2 linked regions of the Oreochromis niloticus genome follow. The protein of the gene in region 1 interacts with the protein of each later gene in a pairwise test. Links are inferred from orthologs where the notes say so. Each region holds a gene or a part of one and is shown on either strand. Other genes may lie near its edges. The genes, in order: clasrp and dab1b.

The links.
Region 2: the proteins of clasrp (region 1) and dab1b interact in a two-hybrid assay, tested with the Homo sapiens proteins (2 studies listed by BioGRID and IntAct). The link is inferred for Oreochromis niloticus from reciprocal best matches to the Homo sapiens genes CLASRP and DAB1.

The regions. Positions count from the first base shown.
Region 1 is NC_031979.2:23,407,654-23,421,055, forward strand, and holds the start of clasrp (CLK4-associating serine/arginine rich protein), read left to right. Parts: upstream 1-7,253; 5' UTR 7,254-7,406; intron 7,407-8,683; 5' UTR 8,684-8,724; coding exon 8,725-8,823; intron 8,824-9,193; coding exon 9,194-9,291; intron 9,292-9,382; coding exon 9,383-9,484; intron 9,485-11,808; coding exon 11,809-11,888; intron 11,889-12,045; coding exon 12,046-12,130; intron 12,131-12,221; coding exon 12,222-12,358; intron 12,359-13,000; coding exon 13,001-13,097; intron 13,098-13,402. Other genes in the region: protein jagged-1b, read left to right, coding at 1,872-2,022, 2,105-2,541. UniProt on the Homo sapiens protein: Probably functions as an alternative splicing regulator. May regulate the mRNA splicing of genes such as CLK1. May act by regulating members of the CLK kinase family.
Region 2 is NC_031982.2:8,796,044-8,808,397, reverse strand, and holds the start of dab1b (DAB adaptor protein 1b), read left to right. Parts: upstream 1-6,762; 5' UTR 6,763-7,214; intron 7,215-7,844; exon of another isoform or gene 7,845-8,117; intron 8,118-12,354. UniProt on the Homo sapiens protein: Signaling adapter of the reelin-mediated signaling pathway, which regulates the migration and differentiation of postmitotic neurons during brain development.

The sequences.
Region 1 (13,402 bases):
CGTAATTTAATTTATTTTTTTAATAATTAAAACTAAATGGGTATTTTTTTTAGTTTAACTAATGTGTGAAGATAATTTCTAGTAAAAAAGATGAAACAGGCATACAAGGTAATATTAGATGTTACAGTCTCTGAATCAAAGACTCAAGGGAACCTAACATAATCTGGCCCAGAAAACTGCTGCCATTCAATATACTTTTAATAATGTAAATATGATTACTTACAAAGAATAAACATGAATGAGGAAAATGGAAAACCTGGCAAAAATAAACAAAAGAGGAAGAAGATCATGAAACAACCATACAAGGAGCCATCAGATTCCATTTTCCCCTAAACTAATATTAATAACCTAAAATAACAGAACCAAACTCGAAAACACGACTGCCCGTAACTCCAAACTCAAGCCATAATCAAAAGCAGCAGAACGACATCACCAGTGCTGCTGACGAGGATCAGGAGACGAGGTACTGAGATGCCAACCAGCAACCTCCGTGCTCCACCTTTTCTAGCTGTATATGCATGCCAGTGAGCCTTCTGCAGCCAATCAGAGTGAGAAACAAATCAGAGGTGAAAGCAGAAGATCAGAGGAAGATAATAGATGTGTGGTCGCACAGAGAGCGCGCATAACATCATATAACAACATATTTCAAAAGAGTAATCCAAAAAAGATTGAAAGAAAAATCGATATGATAGATTTAAAAAATGGGGATTTTAGAAATTTAGTCTTTATCAGAAGTTCATGTTACACAATGGTAAAATATGAATTTAAACCTGTTCCAGAAAGAGAAACCTGAATATTTACAGTGTTGAATGTGCTGCTAAGGTAAATGAAAAGCACAGTAACAAATGTATTATGCAGCTAATCTCAAGTTCATTTGGTTGGGGCGAGGCGCTGTCCACACATACGCTGGTATTCTGGTAAACGTATCTTTAGTCTATGGATTTTAGTCTTATGTCCACACATACAACAACTGAAATAAAGATTTAGATTTAGAAAGTTATCTGCTTTTATCTCTGTTTTGACATCAGACTGTGTGGTTTTATCGCCTGTAGCCTTCTGATTGGCCAACATTTATGTTGCATAGAACTCAATGTTGTTTCTTTTTCTTTTTCTTATGAATGGAGATATTTTACAAAACAAAAGCAGAAAATCATTTTTTTAAGTAATACATGGACACGGACCTGAGTATAAATAAAACATGTGATGATATCATGAACAAAGGTAGAACAAGCTTATAATTAAAAATAAAATACAGAATAAAAAAGTGGATTGAAAACTATAGACAGCACATCAGATGTTACTATTTATACCAGGAATAAACATGATTCTAGCATTTTAGCCCTATCAGAAGTGAAGTACATTAAAAAGTCCACAGAAGTAAAACTAAAACTTTTTAAGAAAAGCCAAACAGTAAATAAACTTTTTTTTTTTTTTATAATATTATAAAAACCTCTTGGCTCCAGATTGCTAGTTTAATGCCTACATTTGTTAACTTTAATGTGATCCTTGAAAATCTCAAATAATTAGGTAAAATAACAAATCTAAAATATTCAGGTTTATATATCCGGTGTCTTTAGTCTTTCAACTTTCAAATTCATTTTTGTTTGTTTATTTTTGTTTTTCAATCCCTGCTGAGCTACGGGAGAACTCATACTATTAGGAGGAAATTTTACACCAAAAAGTTTAAAAATGCTAAAACTTAAAAAAAATTCATTGGCTATAAATAAACATTTGAGTTTTAGCATTGAAAGTGAAGTAAGAAGAGATCTTTTAAAGATCCAATCAGAAACATCAGAAATTTCACTGGAGGTTAGAGAGAAGTGGATGTCTCCCTTAACTGTCTTATTGTTTTGTTTTTTCCAATATTTCAGGTCGTGTTGGACTTGTGCAATCCCAACCCCTGTCAGCAAGGCGTGCAGTGTCACATCATAGATGGCAGGAACACGTGCATCTGTCCTGACGGTTACTATGGTGACGAGTGCATGAGCCTCAAAAATCCCTGCATTGGTCACCACTGTCAAGGTGAGAGAAATACTTGTGCATCTTTAAACGTATAAAATCTTGATGAACCCTGGTCTGATCTTTCACGTCTCAACACCCGAAGGCGCCATGTCTGACTCAGCACACGGGGGCCTGAGCTTCTACATGATCCTGGTGGGAGTCTTAGCTCTGGTGACGGTCTGTGGCTGTGCCGCCTGCGCCTTCATCCTGTCCCACCTCCATCGGAAGCGGAAAAAGCAGCAGGCTGTCCCGCAGGAAGAAGGCATCAACAACCAGAGGGAGTTTGTCAACCTCATCAGAAACGTGGACCGTCCGGTGCCCCAGCTGCCCGCTGCCGCCCCTCTCACAAACCCTCCAGCTCCCGCCCCCGTCTCACGTTGCTACGAGGAGATTGAACTGACCCTGCCGCCCTCCCCGGCCCCCTCACACCCTTCCCCAGCACTAAAGCCAGCACATGCTGCCAAACTGGACATTTCAAACCAAGAGAGGGAGAAGTTGAACCGCCTCCACTATGCAGATAACCAAGAGCTGGAGGTCTGACCCCATGCTGACCTTTTAAAGCCCTGAGGAGCTGTTTTTTAAATTTACTTTGCGTCCTTAGCACTCTTTTGCTCACAGGACCCCGTCTCCAGTTACTTGCACTGTGTCGATGTTGCAGATATGAAAATTAAAGGTGACCCTCTGACCTTTATAAACAAAGATGGCTGTGCGCAGACACCAGAGGAACAAAGGCTGCTAAGCAGAGGGGTCGAAAGAGCGTCGTCGCCATCGTCTTTGGGCCTTCTTAATGGCCATGAAAAAGCAGCACAGGCATAAAGTTGAGCTGAAAGACTCAACAGTAAACTGAAAACCTAAAGACTTACAGACTTGCCTTTGAGTGCCTGTGAAACTGTCAAGAGTAAACAGAGGATCTTCCTCCATTTGAGTCCCGATACATTTCCTGTTCGGTGTTGCCATCTGACTGTTGTCCAAACCTCCACTGAACTCTGACAGAAAGGATCAGTGAACAGATGCCTATTTAACATTTTTTGTTTGTGTCTGGCTGTGTGTAAGTGTGTGTGAGAGTGAACGAAAGACTGGATATAATTAGTTTTTGTGAGAGGGGAAACATTTCACTCTGCTTAGAGTGAAAGTGCATCCTCCTGAACCAAAGGCTTGCAAGCCTCCTGAGAACATTTTTAAGAGTATACACTGATGCCTGTTTTGTCTCTGTAATACTGCAGTTTGCCCGAGATGTATGGTTTTTATCATACTTGTGTGTAACATAGTTGTTTTTGTACATAAATAGTATTGTACATATTGATGCCCTTTTTGTACTGTGATTCATTCTGGAAGTATCACTGTATTACTGTCCCCTGTTTTTCCCTTTATACTTTCCATTTGGAGCAGCAAGCACATGTGGAATGTAATAAAAGTGCATTTACCAACTCGATTTTATACCTTTTATTAAACTCCAGGGTTTAGTTGTCCAAAATAATCCCTGTGAGCCGAAAGCTTAGGCTTCAGACAGCTCTAAACCCTCCCTTCCAGACAGTTTTTCCTTAGGTCTGAATAATGAGAGGAAGAGCAGATAACTCTAACATGGTCAACTGCTGTTCAGCTCTTCTGTTTCTGAGGGGCAGCTAATCAGATGAAAGCTGGTATAAAGGGGGAGGAGCTAAAGATGACAAGATAAATTATTTAGGACTGTGAATAATGTAAAGCTGCTCTAGTCGATAATAACTCCCCAGTCTTCTCAGGACTCTCATTTGTACTCAATAATCACTACTACCCACTAAAGAGTTTCTAAATCCTTGAATAAAAAGCTATTTTCAGTTGTTCTGTTATTCACCAGTGGTCACTGTCTGTTTGATTTAGTTGATATTTTGCACCAGAAGCCCTCCCTGACACAACCCAAAAAGGATTGTGTCTCCTCTAATACCACTTTCTAATAATATGTAGATCTGCTCCATTTGTTAATACGGCCAAAGCAACAATATATCATGAATGCACAGTCCTTTGAAGATACAGAGATACTTTTGACCATAACCGTATATGTAACAAAAAGCATCCAAGCTTATTTTTAAGCTTTGGAATAGCAACATTAGTCTTAAATTACTTACATTTGTTTAAGAGTTATCAGTTCTTCTAGTTCCTTGTCTCCCTGTATGCATTTTTCAGATGTCACAACCAAGCTTTCTGTTCATAAATCACTGACAGAGTCCCATGAGAGGATATTTCATGTTGGAGCACAGGCACAATGACTAGGTCAGTAAGTCACCATATACACAGTGACTTTCACTATCTTCCTTTTCTTTCCCTGACACTCGTTGACAAACAATGATGCTGACGGTGCCAGGAAAATATGGGAGACCACCTGACTGACCCCAGCTTTCCTAAAAAACAAATGTGTGGCTGCAAAAAAAAAAGGAATAATAATAACAGTAAGTTTCAAGAGCAGCGGGTTTGTGCAAACTGCTGGTCAATAGCATTTAAAATGCTGGAAACACTGGCAAATATTTACTTAAAGTTTCTGGTTTTAATGGATCTACAATTACTGAAGTTACCTGTAACCATTTTTGCAGATATCAGACAGTCTATGTTGTCCTAAATCATTACAGTACAATTTTTCTGTAAACTGTACTCAAGTGCAGTTGTCTAAATCTGGGGTACACTTGGGTACTTCCAGATCCAGTCCTTTTTGGACCCATGACATGCCATATTTAACCTATTCTTTTTTTTCCCTTCCTTTCTGGAACTCTTCCCATATATGTGGCCTTTTTTTCTCTCTCGTGTGTATCTGTTTATTTGTTTGTTTCTTTACGCTGCACTGGTGTTATTGAAAATTTAAAATATATATATATATATATATATAAAAGATCATTACAGTAAAGCATGCTGTGTGTTACTAAAATATGATAAATTGCCAAGTGTAAGCGGCTCCAAGGTCACAGCATAGACATTTAATGTGCAAATAGATGTGACAAATGTGACCTCTGACCTGTGCAAACAACAGTGGGCTGGAAATGAACATGGTTTCCTGTAACCATGCTGGTCATGAGGAAATGTAGAGAATAGAGTTTACACACACAAACATAGACGTATATATATACATACATATGTACAGGCATCTTTCTGCACCTGCTGAGCAGGATGTCAAAGCCCAGCGTGCAGATTAGAAAGCTTCAGATTCAGCCAAGGGGTCACTGCCCCTCAGTGTAAAGGTGTTAAATGCTTGTCCTTATTTTCAAAGCACACTTTGCAGAGAAATAAAATACGAGTTAAAACAGACACACACAAACACACACCCTCAGCACAGTTATAGGTTTAGTAGCATTATAGACACTGAGAAATGTACCCGGGGCTCAAACCTTTAGCAGTTTTATGAAATGACAGAAGTATTTAGAAGTGATCCTGTTTTGACTTCAGTACTGTGATAATATGTTCAGATTTTGCTGTGTATGAAAGGACTCTGAATAAGCTAAGTCATCCTGATCGTTTGGATAATCCAGCAAATAAAGCATTACAGTAATTTAAACTGTAGCAATATAATCTCTCTGGTGTGTTCGGGGTCTGCCTCGGGGCCTCCTCCCAGTCGGACATGCCCACAACACCTCACCCAGGAGGCATCCGTGTCAGGTGCCCGAACCACCTCAGCTGGGTCCTTTCCATGCAGAGGAGTAGCAGCTCTACTCTGATCCCTCACGGATGGATCCAAGTTACTTTTCTGAGGAGCTGTGTGATTACAGCACATTGGAGAGATAAATTATATTTTTATAAATAAAACGTATTCTATATAATTTATTTATCCAGGTAAAAATCTCATTGAGATTAAAATGTCTTTTTCTGGAGAGACCTGTCCAAGAGGGAAGCATAAAATGATATAACAAGTAAAGGAGCAAATACAACTGATATTCAGAGACAAGTGAACACAAACGTGCAAAGCATTAACAGCACTCACACTGACCAAAAGATTTATTCTCTCATTCTTTTAAAACAGTCTTAAAATCCACAATCATATCCAGTTCTGACACTTTCAGCTCCTTTCTGACTCTGTGACAAATATCAGCATGAGATAAATAAGAGGAGTTAAAGATTCTTTATTATCATTTTGCAGTCACATAACGAAATGCTGCGTGGTAGCTCTCAGCTTAAAACACAGGCAGACACACAATGAATAAATACACATAACAGGGAAAGGTAATAATGTAGATACCTGATGTAAAGTTCAGCTGTGCAGTGGATGCCTTGGTCTTTTAATGCATGCGATGTGTGCGTGTGTGTGTGTGTGTATGTATGAAAATCAGCAACTCCAGAAGAGTTGATTTATACAGAAAAATGTGGTAGTTCAAATGAATATAAGAGATCTCCTTTAAGGATTTATTTTAGTGCCCATCCACATGTGCAGCTGATGCACTGACCCAAGGACACCTGGGTTTGTATTTCTGACAGGGATTCAGGAGAGCTTGACAACAAATACAAGAAAAACTAGAGCTTAAACGCTGAGTGACTCTCACTAGAGCAGCATTGATACATGTCCTTGTGCACATAAAGTAGTCATAGACTGGTACAGGGGCATAATACTTTGTAGAAAGAAAGATTAATTTAATTATTTTTAGCTGGATTACCACAAATGTTTTCACACACAGTTTGCCAATTCCTTGCAAGTGTCTCTATTTAACTGTGATAGCTTCAAATGTGCATATTTCCTGTCTAACAGGGACATCTTGTGGCCAAATACGGTGCACAACCTTAAAAACCACTGAGCCGTTTTTCATACTGAGTTATTATGTAACTTTCATTACGAAGCCAACAGATAATGTAAATAATATGCACAAACTTTCTTTCAAAATAAAACACATATATTATCCTGTTTAAGTTTAAGGAAGGCTTTTCGGAAAGACTCATCTTTGTGTTGGCATAAGGTACTGTTCAGTTTCAGCAATAAAAAGAACTACATTTATTCAAACTTTTAATTATCATAGCAAAGTATAAACTATATCTAAAAAGCCCAATTTAATCAATCTACATATCTATTCATAATTTTTCAAAAGGACACCGAGCATTGTATTAAAACCATCTGTGAATTTAAAAAAAAAGAAGAAGAAGAAAGCTGTCAAAATGTTTTTTTTATTTGTGATGCTTTGCATAGAATCTCCTCTGACTCTGGTCTGAGTTATCTGCTGTGAAGGTAGAAGTGGCGATTATTGTTTACTGTGTTTTATAATAAGGAGAATTTTTTTCAAAAGTATCTTCCCATTAATGTTACATACACACGCCTCCCCGCAGCGCCCTCACAGGCCAGAGTCGGTACTGCAGCCTGTTATATATATGCGAAGGAGGCGTGTGGTTACGCTCCACTCCGCTAACATCGCTTTTGGCCAACTGAAAACAACCCGTGTGTGTGTTGGCGATTAGTAAAACAGGTACACTGTGAGAATTTAGACCGCGCTGAGTACCCTGTACGGCCGTATGTGTAGTTTTCAGTGTTTCGTAGCTGCTTTTTTGACCACTGTTCCCAACGTCTTTGCAGATCAGCTAAGCTAGGCTAGTTGTGATGCTAACTGGTATTAAAAAGGCCCGGGCTGCATGCGCAGTCAGGCCCGTGTGTATGCTAACAAACTCCTACATCACTTTGATAACACGGATTTTTTTTAGCACCCGGCTGAATCTGAACGCTGAAAGTGGGGCGTAGACGGGTTAAAATAACCGTTTTAGAGGACAAACAGCGTTGTAATGTAACCGTATTAACTACGTAAATACTGGATAGAAAGCTATGTTAGCTTTTTAGCTTCAGACTGTTTAGCTACTGCTGTAAATTAAAAGTGTGTTTAGTGGTAGAAGATGCAGAGGTGACACCTTGATTCACAGTTACTGTAATTTCTGTGATGTACCAAAATCACATTTTAGGTGTTTGTTTTTTCCAGTGAAATTCATTTTATTTATTTTTTAAAAATATAAATCGGAGTATATTTGCTGTATTTGCTTGTTTGTGTTATTTCATTAATGTCCCTGTTTTAGCAAAATTGAGGACGAGGAATCTGCTATAGAAAAATATAATCCTGTCATTACTGCGGATATGAGCTTCGTCAAACACTCCGAGAAATGCATTGGAAGTGTATACACTGATGCAAATGAATGGCAAACGTATACCTTTTAGGTTTCGTTACACTGAATTTCCCTCACATGTCTAACATGACGTGTCACAACTTCAGTTTTAGGAAGTGACCAATATGCCTCAGTTTACTTATGAATAGACAGGCTACAAATATTTTGTGCATTCATGGCCGTTTAATCTCGGTATATGTCTGTTGTCTTGCTAGAAATTTAGACGTCACTGCGTGCCTTAGGTTGTCAAGTGTTTAACAAGGAATGTAGGTAACTATTGCATTACAACATTGCCTGTGTTTAGTGTGAAGCTTAAGACTGGGAATTTTCAGTAGTCTTGAGTGTTGATAGTGTGTTTGCAGATGTGCTGGTTGCACTCTGTAGTTGGTTCTGATCAGAGATATCAACTGTAATATGTAAGAGATACTTTCTGTCTGTATGTCAGTGACATGATGTGGAGTTCAGAGCTCTTGAAGTGCTCAGTTTATAAAGTCCACTATTTATTTATTTTTATTTATTTATTTTTCTTGCCTCTAACACCCTTAATCTCACTTTCCCCTGTCTCCCATGATTCTTGCTTGTTTGCCCTGAGTAGCAGCCGTGCCCCGCCGCGCCCCCACCCCTAGCGGAGCCGTCATGTGGCAGGAGGCCCGCAAACATGAGCGCAAGCTCCGTGGCATGATGGTAGACTACAAACGGCGAGGCGAGCGCCGGCGAGAGTACTATGAGAAGATAGTAAGAAACTTTATCATGTTGCATTGCCACAGTGTACCACCGGGTAGGAGTGAGCAGGTCTGGCCTGAACACTCTTACTGCAGGATTTTTAAAAAAGAAGAAAAGATTTGAGCAAGTTTATACCCAGTTATGTGGGTCCAAACTTTGTGGTATTTTTAAAAACATATGCATATAGTTGACACAGCTTTCAGTTATCCTCATTGCATCAATGAACCAGTTACTGTTTACAAAAAAAAAGTGTCAAGTTTTAGAAGTTAATTTCTATGGTTGTTGGTTTCAGTTTAATTAAAGTGCTGTGCAGTGTAACATTTCATAGTTTTAGATATTAATCAATGCATTGTATTCTTACGGTTTCATTTTCTTTTGACAGAAAAAAGATCCTGCTCAGTTTCTTCAAGTTCACGGTCGAGCCTACAAAATCCACCTGGATCCAGCTGTGGCACTGGCCGCAGAGAGCCCTGCAAACATGTGAGGAAAATCACAAAATCGACACATAATAAGAGATGAGCCACACCACAGAGCTTATGATCACATGTTGCCTCCTTTCTGTTGTCTGAAGGATGCCTTGGCAAGGAGATGCCAACAACATGATTGACAGGTTTGATGTAAGGGCTCACCTGGACTACATCCCCACCTACACGCCACCTCTGCTCACCACATCGTAAGTCTGAAAGTACTTAAAGCCACATTTTTAACATGGAACCCACGTTGTGTGAACATTTTATTGGTTATTTATTTACTTTTTCGTTGTATGATTCTACATGGGACAGTTGTGAGGAGATCATCACACATTCACCATATATTGTTGTACATATGCTGTACAGATTATGTATTCAACAGTTAAGATAGTTCATCAAAGAGGGCTTTCAAAAAATAACCAGTCATAATTTGGTATGGATTATGTTTTCAGTTTGTTATTTTTTGTTTTGTTTTGATTTGATTTGATTTGATATACCTTTATTAGTCCCACAAGGGGAAATTTCTTGTTAAGGCTGCCGACCTATTGCGCGCAATGGCGGCGCCATCTTACCCTCCGACCATACATACATTACACAAAAACATCACATGGGGAAGACAGGTCAGAGAGGTATAACAATGGAAAATGCACCACATGAGGAAAGATCAGGAGAAAAAAATAACTCCCCCCAGACTGAGCTCCAATGGGGAGATCAGATTGAGAGCAGAAAAAAAACACCTCTGCACATAGCACATGAAAAAACTCTTAATACACCAAAGTTTGTTTTTAATTATGTGGAAACATTTGCTCTTGTATGAGGTTGAGCTGATCTGACTTTAGTCGTCAAAGGAGATGGTGACCCCATTTTTTGTTTGTTTTAAGAAAAAAACCCAAAACAGGTCATTTTGTCACCTGCAAAATAGGCTAGTTTAATTACTTATATTATAATTTCTATAATAATAAAGCTAAAACACCTGCTGCAGTAGTCTGTAGTAGTAGATTTATGTTTTATTCCATTTCTCTAAATTGGGAAGCAGTTTGCAACTAGATGGATGTTTTATTGTCCATATTTAAAATTCGACTTTGACTCTACAAGCACAGCTTTAGTGCTTCTGGTGACCCGCTCCTAAGACAGTGGCAGGTGGGGGCTTTGACTAGGGCAGTACATCTGTCCAAACTGTAACGCAGGTGTCCTAAGGTGAGCTCAGGGAGGACAGAAACCACCTGTGGAGCAGAAGGGCAACAGCTTGCATGACCTTGATTCCCAGTATGAATACAGATTATTAAAATAGGTCCTCATGATCCTCCGGATTTCCTGGGTTTTAAACCTGTGGTCAGTAAGTGCTGGATTGTTGACCCGCTAATAGGAAAGTGAACTGATTTTTAGGCCGTTGTGAGACGTTTTAGTGTTTCCCTGCGGATGATGTGATGTTGTAGCAGTAATTCTGCTCAGTACGAGAGCAGTTGACATTATGTGTATGTCTTTGGCCAGTGGTGTGAAGCTGCCAGCTGCAGGATTGACTGAACACCTCTAAACAGGGGTGAAATAAGGTGTGAGCACAATCCTCAAATGCTGATCATAGCTGTGGTTAGTTTTACAGGTTCACTGTTTTCTAAACACAGGCACAGTCAGTCCATTTCAATAACAAGTGCCAAAAATAAACAGTGTTTGAAAACATTAACAAATCAACTTGTGGACTTGATTTAAACAGATTTTACACCTTGTGAAAGGAACTCCCAAAAGGCATGCGTGCTGCAACAGCATGATAGCAAATCTGGCCCTGATACTGTAGGCCTTTGGTTGGTTGCAGATAGCCGCCCATGGGGGTGAAGGAGAGCAGTTTGTGACTGGTCAGGCGGAATGCCAAATGATGGTCACCTCTCCCCAATCTTGGACTCGTGTTTGTGGAGAACTTGCTGCTAAATAACTTGTAAACATCCTGATTCATTTATCAACACACCACCAATGAGGAGACTTTATTGAAGATGGTTGCTGGGATGACCGGGTGGCTACTCTTAAAACTTTCTCTGATAAATACCCCTCCTATTACGTTATAATAATTTAAAAGACTAAAACTAACATTCAAAATGATAAAAACTAAACTAAAACTAAACATTTTCATAAAGTGAAAACTAATCTAAAGAATGCCAAGTGATTCTGTAAAGTGATGGAAAACTAAATAGAATTAAAGAATTAAAAACAAAATAAAATTTAATTTAAAAATGCTGTTTATAGCACGACTGTCTGTTTCGATCTTTATGTGTTGTAATGCTGATTACTTCACTGACTGCTTGTGCTGGTGCATTGAAACTTGTGGTAATAACCAAAGAGTGGCTTTTTAGTAAGACTTCTGGTTCTTACTCTGTGATAAAACACCTGCTGCTCAGTAATTGAACAGGTCATCTGTGAGATTGTATTTTTAGTCATCTTTCATGCTTGGTCAGGACACAAACCAGTTCAGTGTGGTGAGATTTGAGCATTCAGCGAGGTGTTTAATGTGACCAACAATCTTCTTTGTCTCATGCAGCACTCCAGAGCAGGAGATGGAGGAGAGAAAGTGTAACTATGAGCGCTACAGAGGCCTTGTACAGAATGACTTTGCCAACAGTGAGTGTTAACACACAAAATCTACATGACTATGTAATGCGCTTAATAGTGTTGCACCTGTATTCTTAATGTGACCATGGCAGTGTGTTGACCTGCTCTCAGTGGGTATATTTTGCAGTTGTGTTGTGCTCTTTAAATCCCTCCTGTCCTCCTGCAGTCTCTGAGGAGCAGTGTTTATACCAGATCTACCTGGATGAGCTCTATGGTGGTCTGCCCAAACCAAATGAGGATGAGAAGAAAAAGTATGAACTAAATTTTAAAGTGGTTCTTTATCACCACTGTGAAATCCAGTATTTTAAGTTGTTTTCATAAATCTTTCCTTGTGTTGTGCAGACTGGCTGAGAAGAAGGCCACCATTGGTTACACGTATGAAGACAGCACTGTAGCAGAGCCTGAGCCCCAGTCAGACAAAGAGGAAGACAATTCAGAAAACAGTGAATCCGAAGATGACGAAGGCATTCCAGATATCGGTGAGCATGTTTCACTGGAGTAATCTATGTGTTAGGGAAGTAAAATTCAGGAGATGACCAAATAAAACATTTAGAGGCACAGCTGTCCACAGAGAATGTGTTTGATCAGCTTTTCGTCTCTTGGATATGTGAGAGTTATTCCACAGAACGTTTCTCAGAAGAGACTAAAATCTGAAATTGTCAATTTGACTGTGCGAGCTGGATTTGTTACATCATTTAATGCAGTGCAGGCTTCAAATGGCCAGATACACATCTGTGTGGCTTCAGACTAACCCTGAAAATGGACTTCAGCGAAGGAGAAATGTCACATCCCAATGAGAAATTAATGCAGTTAAACCAAGCTATTTAACAGCATGTAAAACGCTAGTTATTGAGAAATAACACTAGTTATCTTACACTGTACCTGGAGAAGATTGTCTTTATAAAAGTGATCCACTCAGCTGGCACTGCTCAACTTTATTTTTCTCTTTTCTGCCAGGTTGCAGGTTTTTCTTGGTTATGTGATAATCGTGTTTTAAATGCTGTTAACCGACGATCTGATCTCAGATCAACAGTGTTCCTGTTTAATGCTTGGGTAAGAAATCGACTTGTTAAAAAATGGTGTGTGTGTGTGTGCGTGTGCGTGTGCGCGCGCACTTTCAGATGTGGAGGTTGATGTTGATGAGCTGAACCAGGAGCAGGTGATGGACCTGAACAAAATGGCAACGCCATATGGAATGGCTGAAGGAGACTTTGTCAGGTAACATGTCATTAATCACATCATGATGTCAGAGTCGAACCCAAAGCAAATTTCTGAAGAAAAACGACGCCCAGTGGTTCCTTAAATTTTAATTAGTGTCTTGACCAAAGTAGAGTTAATGTAGCTTTTTTAAAATTCAGTTTTTTTTTCTTTTCAGTTTTTTCAAGTTTTTAGTCTTTTTAAGTATAATTATATGGAGGGCATATCTCAGAGGTGAGATTTAGGAAAATCATTTTAGGTATTATAATAAGAAGAGAACTTTTTGAACGTTCAGTTGACTCAGTGTTTTAGACCAAAGTCTTATT
Region 2 (12,354 bases), on another chromosome or scaffold:
CAAAGGTCTCATCAATGTGGACATTTTTGCTGTGAAGTAATGGCGCACGCGGCAGGCAGTGTGGGAGGTTTATTTCCAAAAGGGGAAAGGCACAAATTTATCTGTGGTTCCCTTTGGTCCTGTATTTGCTGTCTGCAGTTAGTCCTTCTCTGATGCATTGCTTTAAAAGGCATCAGGGAAACCCGTCTCTCTCTCTCTCTCTCTGTGGATTCAATTGACACTAGTTTGTGTGTCTTGGGATTTTCGGCATGTGCAATACACACACACCCACACACACGACCTAAAAAAGCATATCCGCGCACACTCTGAGCCACACGAGGTGGAACACACATACACAAACACACCCCCTCTATGCAGCGCAGTAAATACAGTGATTTTGGCTCCATTTTCTCCAGGGTGGTGACAAGTCTTCCCCCCCCCGCCACATGGTTGAAATGAAATCCAATTATATCCGTAATGCCTCTTCAACTGTTCTTCTGCTTTGAAGGAGTCAGCTTCCTTGAGTCACCACTGCTGGACCCGAATGTGCTCGGCAAACCAGTGATGCGCAGTGGTGCAAATGTGCAGTGGAGACAGATGTATTGCGTGTGTGTGTGTGTGTGTGTGTGTGTGAATTAGCGGCAGAATTCTTCTGTTTAAGTCAACTATCATTCAAAAGTGACTTAACTCCCCGCCAAACTTTGTTACTCCGGTAAGTGTGTCGCGTTGTTAGTGGGAATGGCTGTCTATTTGCATATTTTAATTAAATAGCAGGAATTTAGAATTAATCACTTTCTAAATTTATGGGCTAATTATATGGTTTTTGTCCTTGACATGTCAGCGTCACCCACCCGTGAATAAATTCATCACGGCCAAAGTTACGCTGACACCTGCAAACTTTGCTTCCTTCACTTACCCCTCAATTAGCCTCTTTTATGCTCTCTTCTGACACAATAAATCACATACTGTCACATTGTCTCTGTCATAGCGCCCCTGTGACAGCCCGATCGCGGAGATGAGTGGGCGGAAAATGCACGTACGGTGTGTGCGCATGTGCCCACGCATGTGCACGTAAAGCGACTTCTGAACACCCAGTGCACTGGCTAAAACAAAAGTAAATAAATAAAATGAAATACAGGCCCTCTTTGATAAAGTGGACATGGACGAGGTCTCGCATGTTTCCATGCGTCCCTCCCCAAAGGAGATGCTGTGTGCTTGGGGTTGCCGATTGAGCAAAGAGCACATTGTGTTACTTTTTCACGAATAGCGCTTAAAATGACATGAAAGGGAGATCACCCTTTTGTCAGTTTAAAGAGAAAAGTGATCAAACTTGTGCAGATGAGGCTATTAAACGTGCACAGCTTAGTTTGTATGTAAACACGTGACATCTGCAGTGTCTGCGCTTCATTTACGCATCATTTGCACACAGCAAACAACCAAATTGGTGCTTGATGTGCACGTCTCCCCGCGCTGTATAATGTCGTGAAACAACAAGAACTCGGCGGGGGATGCAGAAGCAAGAAAAAGGAATGCAAATGGCCCAGAGTGGAGCCAAATTTCTGCTACAGTCAAGATGTTCACCGCAAATAAGTGACATAAGATGTGTCTGCACGCTAGCCTGTATCCGAGCAGTGTACAGAGGCAATGTATCCACATTGCGCTTTTAATTAAGAATGCGAGTTTGGCAGATGGGTGTAAATCCAAGTTCCTTTTCCAATCCAAAATGCAAACTGGCACTTGTCATTGTCCATCTGCTTTATTTCCTGTTCTTGGGATTTAATATCAGCGGCTAATAAACCCTCACACCTTGAGCTTGAGCTCCGACCATGTGTATCCTCCACGCTGAAGCTAGACTAACTGCTTCCATGCTGCCACTTGTTATTCTGCATACAGTATGCTCCAGTGTGGTTCAAGTGATGGCTGGATATAAATTCCAGCAGCATCACAAAAATCCTCAAATCCCCGCTACCACCCCACCCATTCACTTCACTGCTGATAGTTTAAAATTCAATATTCACGCACGGTGGGAAAAAAATAAAAAATCCAAGGTTAGTTAGAAAACACAGACGCCTTGTTACACTGACACTAATATAAAGCTACGGTATGTAGATCTTCTTTCGACCTAGATAGAAATCGAAGATGGGGTTTCATCTTCACAAATTAGTGCGTGCATCTGGATTTGCATGGTCTGATTATTTCAAGATTTATCAGCAAGATTTTCTCCAGACCTCTTTGACCTTGAAAAGACAGCTGCTCCGGCTGCATGAGATTAACAAGCCGGTGTTGTGGTGTTCTTGGTTGAGAAACAAAAATGGCTTAGAGCAAGACAACAAGGGTAAAGGTGTGGCACGATACTGAAACAAAGTTAAAGCCCCCCTGAGCATCGGCACTGCATCTGTTCAGTTGCATGAATCCTAATGCTGATTCACTACCTTTTTGTAGCTTTTCATTTCTTGACTGCTGCTTCAAGGTCACAACACTTAATCCTTTGAGACTGAAGGATCAGTTAATATTAAAGCAGTATTAACTGATTTTTTTTTTCCTGTTTGTTTTGAGCAATATAGGGCAGTGGAGCAAGCTGTTTTCAGCAATGACATAAAACGTGGATATGTCACAGATGTTAGCAAACAGCTGCCTTTTGAAAGCACACAAAATTTAATTTGGAGACATGCTGGCATGCAAATGTTTCCGCTCAAGCCAAAGAAGAAGTGCTTGAAGAGCATTTCATGCCTCCCATTTCCCCATGTGGTCTCAGCATGATCGTGTTGAATAGGACCATACTCAGACCACACTGACTCGGTATGATCTCAGTCAATAAGTTATGATTTTTAAAAGTTTCTGGGTCTACATTGATGGACAGTTGTGGACTTGAACAAATAGTCGACTTGCATGCATTTCCATACCATACTTCCCAACAGAAACACATTGCACTACTTCCAAAGACATGCTAACTACCACAAAACAGAACAAAAAACCCAAAAATACTACTATAAAATGATATTAGATTAGAGGATGGATGAGTCCATTAACTGTTTAGGAAATACAGCCATTTTTATGCACACTTTCTCATGTCTTTATGCGTTCAGTCTTGTATTTAATAACTCTATCGGGTTGAGATCCAGTGACTGACTTGGCCATTGAAGAATATCCCATGTCCTTCCTTTGAGAAACTCCTGGGTTGCTTTTTTCCATATGCTTTGGCTCATGATCCACTTTTGTGACATGCTGTCTGATCACTTTTGAATCTGAGCAGAGAGTGCAGCACTGTACACTTCACAATTCATCCTGCTACTTCTATCAGCAATCACATCATTAGCAGCCATATCTTCCCATGCCATATTACTGCCTCCACCGTGTTTGACAGATGATGCGCTATACTTAAAATCATGAGTTGTTTCTCACCGTCTCCATGCTGTTGTCTTCCTGTCATTTTGGTTATGCATAAATAAAAGTATGGTTTCATCTTTCCAGAACTGTGTCAGCTCTTCAGATGTTTCTTTTAGATTTTGCTTTTCATTTCAAAAATGTACCAAATTCTTGATATATTTGTATAAAAATGGCTGTAATTCCTAAACAGTTAATTCACTATTTTTATAAACCCACTTCAATTAAACTTCAAAGTCTCGCCTTCAATCACACCATGGTTTTTTGATTCAAAATCCACCGTGAAAGCGTGCAGAGGCAAAACTAGAAAAAATGTGCCTTTGAGCAAAAAACTATTGACCTAACTACAGTAGCAGTGCAGTCCCAGCTCATCTACACAATAATTGATAGTCACATTGAACAACTTGCTCATTTCCTTCAATAATAAATATGAGCACTACCACAGGTGTTCTGTCTCAGTCCCCTGAGAAGTGTGCCCTCTAGACCCACAGCCGATGGAGTACATCATGATTACCCGTGGTACCGGAAATGAAGTGGCCCGGGGTGAGAGCGATAAAAGGAGTGGAACTTCTCAGCAGCCGGAGTAGTCAGAGTCAGGGGTCACATGTCATTTATCGATGTCAGGCTTTGCCCCGCCGTGCCTCTCTGAATGCTAATCGCTCACGCTCTGCTGTGACAATACGATTAGACTTGATTAAAACAGTCTATTAGCATAGAACCCACAGGCTGGGCAAACATCCTTCTTTCCTGGAAAACATGCTCACTCTGAGTGTCAAAACTGCAACTGACTGGACGTGCACTTACTGTTCGTGTTTTTGGCAACCTTCATGCCCAGAATCAGAGGCAAATCAGCACTCTGTCTGTACAATAACCTTTTTCTTTGTCCTTGAAATACATATCGTGACCCCAAAGCTGCCGCTCTGACTAAAACCGGGAACTAATTATTGATCAGCTTTCATGCTGAGGTTTTGCAAGGTAGCCACCAGTTACCCATCTCCCCTTAGGGAGCTGACTAATCAGGGTGCGGCGATGAGAATTTTGACTTAACTAATCTCTGGATTGAATGGAGATTAAACGCCACGTGGGCTGACGGCTCTCCTCTTTGTCTTTTTTGTCTGGACGGGGATCTGTTCTCCTTATCTTATCACCCTGCCTCATTTCTCCAGGGCAGTTCCCTGCCGTTATCAACGTGGCTCCATCTACATGGAAATCAAAGCCTTTCCAGAAGTGGAATACGATTAGGGAGGGGGAGAAAAGTCTAATCTTTCCCCTTTTGGTTCATGCCACCAAAAAACCTATGATGAGCCGAGCAAATGAACAACAAACACTCCCTGTTATTCTTAATTTAGGGACTGCGTGTGTATTTGCCTAAAGAGAGCCTGTGGAGAGGGGTTTGTTAATGCTGACTGGTTGACAATGGTTGGGAACAGGGAATTGGGGAATTGACAATGGCTGCAGTGGACCCTTTAATCATTTGTAACTCTCAGTTTCACTTCAGCTCTTTATATAACTTCACTCTTCTCTGTGGATGACTGACTGGCCATCAGTAACACAAACAATAGTTGCCCACAGACCAGTTGTACCACATATTTTTGACATTGCCCCCATCTGATAACATGTGCTTGCTGCAGGTGGACATTCAACCCACAGCTGCCAATGCGTTACCACCGCTGAACCATAATTTCCCCTTTACAGTGGAGGTGGATGGATGGGTGAACAAGGTGGCACAAAAGTGACGAGTTCCTGCGTAACTGCGAAGCATTTCATCTGCGAGGCTCCTTTTTGTCTCTGGGCCTTGGAAATGAGGATTAACTCTCGCCTCACAGGACACAGCTGCCTGATTCCACTCCTGACACTGACCTCCTTTGTTTCTTTTTAATGACCAAAGAGTAGATGACTGTGTGTGTGTTTGTGTGCTTGTTTGTGTGTGTGTGTCCAGTAGCAGGGGTGTCCGATAAAGAGAGGGAGGTTTACAGAGGGGATTAAAACCCAAACAGCAGCTTCCCTCCCTGGTAAACAAAAGTACATGGGGATGTGCAGTGTGTGTGTGTGTGTGTGTGTGTGTGTGTGTGTGTGCCACTGCTCGTGACACCAGACAAAAAGAGGAAGACTGAGTCCATCTGTGAAAGCAGCAGGATTAAGCTGTGCTCAAGCCAGGAGCTACACGTCAATCAACCACTAAGTGTTTGTGCGTGTTCTTGTGCCAATGTGCATGTGCATATGTGTGTGTGTGTGTGTGTGTGTGTGTGTGTGTGTCACATGCACAACTGTACATCCACATACATGTGCTCTTCTGATCCCACAGCGAGGACCCCAACTTTGCTGAATTCGTTCGGAATCTGTGGGATGGAGCGAAGCCAGCGATACGTCAGTCACCCAACAAAAAAAAAGAGACAAACTTTATTTTTTGTGAAATGTGTGAACTCAGTTGGCACCCGAGCATGAATCGTATGTGGCTGACATCTCCCTCAAACTGTAATGTGGGATGAAGAAGATGCTTCAAAGTGCTTCAAAAACAACTTTGACAACAAGACGGCTGACAAAGTAACTAAACAATAATAATAAAATAACATAAATTCATTCTGCAGGAATGTTCTACATCATGAGCGTGCAGTCAGTCCCCCCAACACAGGTCACCCCCTCTCAATGGTTGCTGGTGCTCTGTCTGTCTTTGAGAAGCTTGTTGTCTCCCTGTCAGGACCCCCGACTGTTTGCCCATAATGCACCACCACTCCTGCATGGCACCCTGTGAGGGGTGGTGGTGGAGGGCAAGTCTGAAGCCTTCAATGCGCAGGCCACAAAGACCAAAGGTAGGCGTGTGCTTGGAGAGGTGGGGGGCTTGACCTGGATGTTCCTCAATAAAGGACCTTGAAGGCAGGGGGTCATTACGCCTGCATGAGCCGGTGAGCGAACCTGGCTTTCTCCCCTTGACAATCTGAAGGGGTAAATTAAAATCAATACAGCCTATGATGAGGCGACTGCAGTGAGACAGGGGTGAGGGAAGGTAGGAGGTGGGGGACAGAGAGAGAGAGAGAGCTTGGACTTGATGGATGGCTGGTTAAAGGGGGATGATCAATTACCCTGATGGATTGCTTTTTGGGGATCTCTGAAATGAGACGGATCTCTGCTCTTTAAAGGCAAATTCAGAAGGAATGGAGGCTCCACTCCAGTTTGCATGAGAGCCCTGCAAGGCAGGAATATTATTCACTTACATCTTTGTTGTTGTGAGAAGTGGCAACTGGTCCCTCCTCCTCTCCAGAATCCTTTATTTTTCGAAAATGTTTAATCCCCTTCGTCCCCTCCCCCCTCCACACATTCTCCCTCCAACGGATCCCCTCTCTACATTATTCTCTGTGCATTTTAATTTTTTTTCCCTTCTTCTGTCACCGGGGGCCCAGTTTTTCCCCGCCTACTCTCCTCATTTAAGCTTGAAACTAGAATACTCGAGCCAAGAAATAGTTAATCTCTCCGGCTGCTGCTATGATTGGCCGCTGTATGCAGCGCTTCAGCCTCCTTGAATGAGAAATAGGGGTAACCAAGCAACTTCAGTGCTGGAGAGAAGAAGATAAAAAAAGCAAAAAGATGATAGGGCTTTACGGGATTTTCACAATGATGGAAGAATTTTGAAGCTGTTAACAGAAGAAAGAAAAAAAGAGGCAGAGGCAATGTGATTTCACCTTGAGTGTCCGGCAAATGGAATTAACAAATGGATTTTCTTAAACGCGCTTCCTCCCTCTCTCTCCCTCTCTCGCTCATTGAGGGGGGGAAATAGAGCGCTCAAATGAAGGAGACACAGATGTGGATTAAAACGCACAAATGGGACACTTCAGAAAAGCATCCACTGAGAAAAGGTGAGTAACATCTCAGCTTTTCTTTCTTTTTTGGGAGGGGTGTGCGGTGAAGAGGTGCTTCAGCATTAAACTGTGAAACTACAGAGCTGTTTAAGGATGCAAGGCAGCTCAGCGACATGTCAAGATTTATGGATAGGATGCGTTGAATGAAAATGGGAACCAGTCCGCTGTGGATGACCGGGATACAAACACATACAGAGTGAAAAAGAAAGAAAGAAAAAGGGAAAGAGAAATAAATGTGATCATGAAGCTGTGAACCTGATCGTCGGTGCTGCTTTGATGGATTTGAATGTGGAGTCCGCTGAAGCGCAAACGCCGGTTGCCTGTCAAATAACCCGCTGTCCCACGTCGAATTGCGCATAAATTACAAAGTGACGTTTGGGTTTTGATTGTTTTTAAACGATTTCAGCGCGTTAGCTGCTCACGGGGGCTTTTGGCTGTGGGATTTCGTGTAAAGGAACAAGTGTGAGAACAGGCGAAATCTTTTTTTTCTTCTCCCCACCACGTCTGTTGCTCTCCCTCCCTCCACAAATATTCAAATGAAGAGATGTTCTGCTGCAACAGCAGTAAGTCATTCTCAAACGAGTGCGTGTTAGCCCGCTCCGATGCTGAGCGAATGGATGAATGATGACGCATATGTTGATAAATGTATTGATTTCAGTGCGGAAGCGGTCAGGGAATGCTCGGTGGGCTGCAGTAGTAGGGGCTGAGTACCTGTGGATGAACGGTTGGATGGGAGCGCACAGCGCACAACGGCGCCGGTCTGTCCGGCAGCGGTGAGCCAAAATGTGCCAGAAAAACCAGTGCGTGGGCCTTCAGTGTGAGTCCTCCGGTCAGCAGCGACGTTCGTGGGTCAGTGTGGAGGTGGAAGCATTCCAGTTAGTCTTGGAAGACGTGGATGAGGTGGGTGGGGGGTAGCGTGAGACACGACTTCCATTTGCGTCATTTAAAATTTTTTATTTTATTTTTTATGTTGATTTTTAATATATGTCTGGATTTGTAGGACTTACTTGTGTTGTATAAGCATGGCTAAACTTTGGTTATTTTATTTTTGTAAAGTCTGCTATCAATCTTGGTTCTATATTTAAAGATAACCCTAGACAACAAGGTGCATCCCTGGTCCACAGGCATGTCTTTATTAATTAAAAAGAACCACATATAGACAAAATATAGTTTTTTGTGTTAAATCATTCAATAGAACAGGCTGCTGTCCTGGCTGTTTATTATTTTGTTTTTCATAATCATAACCTCTCAAACCCAAACCCCCTCCCCCTTTGGGTAAAATTGAATTGGAGCCAATGTTACCAGTTCAAATGCAAAGTTCATTACTGGACCATATGTCAGTCATGATGCTCTGTGTTTTCTACATGGGTGCTTGTGTGAGAGCAATCGTAAATGATGGGAAATGAGCATTGTAGTGGAAATGTAGTAACACAGCAGCCATCAGCTACAGACCAGGGTGCTGCTGAAACACTGTGGCTCACCTGCATCTTGTTTATGTCGTGGTTTGGTGGGATAAAAGTGAAGGTCTGGGGCTAGGATTCTCACGCTGGTGCCAAAGTTCACTGGCGATTTCTGCAAGTCGCCCAAACTATCCTTCGTAATCTCCTTAGTGAGGATGCTCTGCAACAGAGCCTAAGCTGTGCTCAGTAGCTCGATCGTGGGATGGATGTGTTACCACTCACACACACACATGCTACAATTTCCAGTTGTCACCCCCAGACATTTCTTTGCAGCCCAGTGTGAATTGTGAGGCTTAAGATAGAGCTCAACAAAACACTAGAGAGCATTAACTTCTCCAGTAAGGCCTTCTTTGTTGGGTCTCCCAGTGGAATCAAGGCGCTTCATTTAGCTCCTGAAAGCGAAAGCAGCCGGTGCATATGGTGGATATAGCTTATCCAATTAAGACCATAATGAATTTTCCCCTTTTGCATTTGGAGGAAAGGTGGTTTGGGTATTTCTTCTCTGTATTAACTCTTCACGATTGCATTGCAGCAGTGTTGGAGCAATTTCAGCTTGTTGTTTTTTTGCACTTCTTAAATCTTTGGGCTTTTTCACCCCTTTGCTGTACCGTGCCACACTCTGCTTCTCTTCTTTTGTTTCTGCTGAAAGCCTGGTGGATTATCGCATTTGTAGTTTCTCTTCATCTCGCAGCGGCATTACCTCAACGTGAACTACCAAGTGTTCTGAGGTAATGCGTCTAACGAACAGGGCCTCGCATTGACACTAATGCAAAGTTTCAGACTCAGACACACGACTCCTGGAGTGGCCTGAATCTTTTATAAAAAAGTAGCTTTAATGAGCAAGATTGTGCCTGAGTTCTGATTTTTGCTGGCGGCCTTATCACATTTAGTCTGTTCATTAATAAAGATGTGGCCCCTGGCAGAGGCAGGTCAGGGGTGACCTCGCTTGCCGGAGTTGAACAAAAAGGGGGAGATTGCTCCGATAGCGGTGTATTGTAGAAAGCTGAATGATGCACACGTTCGCCCCCCACCACCACCCGCCACCCTCCTGGGAGTGTAATCACCATGACAGGTGCAGGGAAGGTTGGGGCAACTTAATGTGTCAGAAGCAAGAACTCAGACTACATGGTGTGAAATCAAAGAGCAAAACAGCTTTCCATTTTACAGGGTGCCATGTGCTGCACTAGGTTTTGGGATGAGTAACTTTGTTGAGTTTACATCAGCAAACTGGCACCATCTTGAAGTAGTCCAACACAACCCCCTATTAAATTGTTTTGTTTTCTGTTAATTTGATGAACAAACAAAGTGCTAAATACTAAACTTTAAAGGTATTGGAAGGAATAGCAAGTATAAGTTGATTGCCATATTACACCGTGGAATCTGTCAGTATCCCACATTGACCTGACAATATGTCCATTTTTGCTGTGGTCAGTTGGTGGAAAACACAAACTTTGAGGGGAGGACACATTTTGTAATTTTCTTGGGTCAGAGTTTTCATGTTGTTGTTTCTGTATTAAAAAATCATACAATATTAGGCATTTAAGATGGACTTTTATTAAAAAGTTGAAGGTAATAGCTTTGATTTGAATCAGTTCTTCACTACCCAACCAAAGCCATTTGGTAGCTAGGTCTCACTGTTACCCTGTGGTTGATTCTTTGTTGACAGAATGGTTTTTGTTGAGCCATAAACCAAAGGGAGTATGACTTTGTTGTGTTGTCTGCTAAAACTGATCTCACAAAGACTTTATCCCTGAAAAACAGAGGTATATGTTTGTCATGACTGACTTGTGTGATGCTGAGTGATGTATAGGCTTGCTAAATCACAACAAGCAACCTTAAAATGGAGATCCCAGAAACTTTCCTTACCTGGTTGATCGAGCATGCATAAGGACTTAAATGGAGACCAGTGAGTTTGATACTGATGCAGTTAATTTTTCTTCTCACGTTTACACTATTGCTCTGGTTACCTGTGGGAAAATCTTGCAAAAAACCCCAAAACTGTTTGTCTTTTAAAAGATATAGAGAACTTCTGGCCTTTTTAAAATTATATCAGTGATACATCAGTGGAATTTGTTCTCTGTTGTTTTAGTGGCTTTAATAAAAGTGATATCGTTAAAGCACTGAGAATACCTTAATTTCACTGCTCATAATACACAATAATTATCACTTGTTTAAATTCACAATTTAATTACAAGGTGTAATAGATGGTGTTCATTTCTAAATTTACATTTAGAAACACCATTGATAACTATCAGGACAACCAACCCCAGTTGGTTTTCACAAGGTGTCATTGATGGTTAATTACTGTGTGTTACAATTAATTGCAAAAATGAAAAGGATACCCATGTTTAGCTAGCACCTTAAGCTCTGATTTAACAAAGGAATAGTTATTGAAAGCTATTCAATGATCAGCAATTCATGCAAGACCAAAAAGTGTAGCAACAAATCCTGGTCTACCCTACTAGCTGTTTGGCTAATGAGGAACTTGGATAGCACCACAAAGTAGTGCCTTCCTTTTTTGTTTTATAGTTGCAGAGTTGAGAGTTGCATATGGTCACTAATAGAGATTCATTCCATCCATTGTTGTGACTAACAAAGAACAAAGCACGAGTATTTAAGTCTTCATTCCCGCGCCAGATAAACTTCTGTGCTAACAAGCTAGTGTGCAGCCAGTGGAGCCAAGCTAAAGCTAGCTGTTGCTGTTTGGTTTGAATCTTTATGCTAAGCTGAGCTCACAGGCTGCTGGCTCCAGCGTCTCATGCAGTTTAAGGTCATGTTGCCCTTATTGATTTTTTCATCTAACTCTCAGCATGAAAGCTGTTTTTAACGTCCTCTAGGACAGCCATCCTGCTAAGAACCAAAATATCCAGCTTGGACAGACTTCACATCAGCAATATCATGGTAACAGGACTCGCTTATTGAACAATCTCTCAGTAGCATCAGCAAGCAGTCATGCAGAATATAAAATGCGAAACTGAAACTGGAAAATGTTCAAATGAAAATACTCTTTTTGGACCTGTTTCAGTATAAAAAATTGGAAATAGTCCACACTTTACATCCTCCACAGGACAGAGGCTGTACTGCCTTGCAAGTTTCTGTCTTTCGCTTCATAAAGAGTATCTGAATGGAAAATCTAATTCTGTTTATGCCTTATTAATACATATGTTAAGTTGTTTCCAATTAAGCTATTATATCCAAAATTAAACAAAGGCTGAAGATATTAAGCAAATAAAACCACTCACATTTGCAAACAATCAAACTTATAAACTTCTCCATCCAAAATGATCTCATTGTAATTCAGACAATTGTAGATAAATATGTACATTCTGCAAAAACAGCAATCAAGTACTGCTTTCCTAACCTCATGTCACTTATCGCACTGATCCTGTTGAGCTGATAATGAGGCACTGACCCTAACGCTATAAACGGTTTCACTGGAGTCAGATGGGGAAGTGAATTACCAGTCCGTCATACAGTTATTCCCATTGTGCAGAGGCGGGTGGCTAGTAATCCCTGTGCCTTGGCCTGTAACATCTGGTGAGTGAGTGAAGTGTTCAGTGTGAAGCCAGCAGTGTCAGCCTGCCTCCTCTGTTCAACCGGGGCAGCCATCACTGCCCGCTTCACTTCCAGAGGACTGGGCAACTTCAATGCATCAATGACACCAGCCATCACAAGGG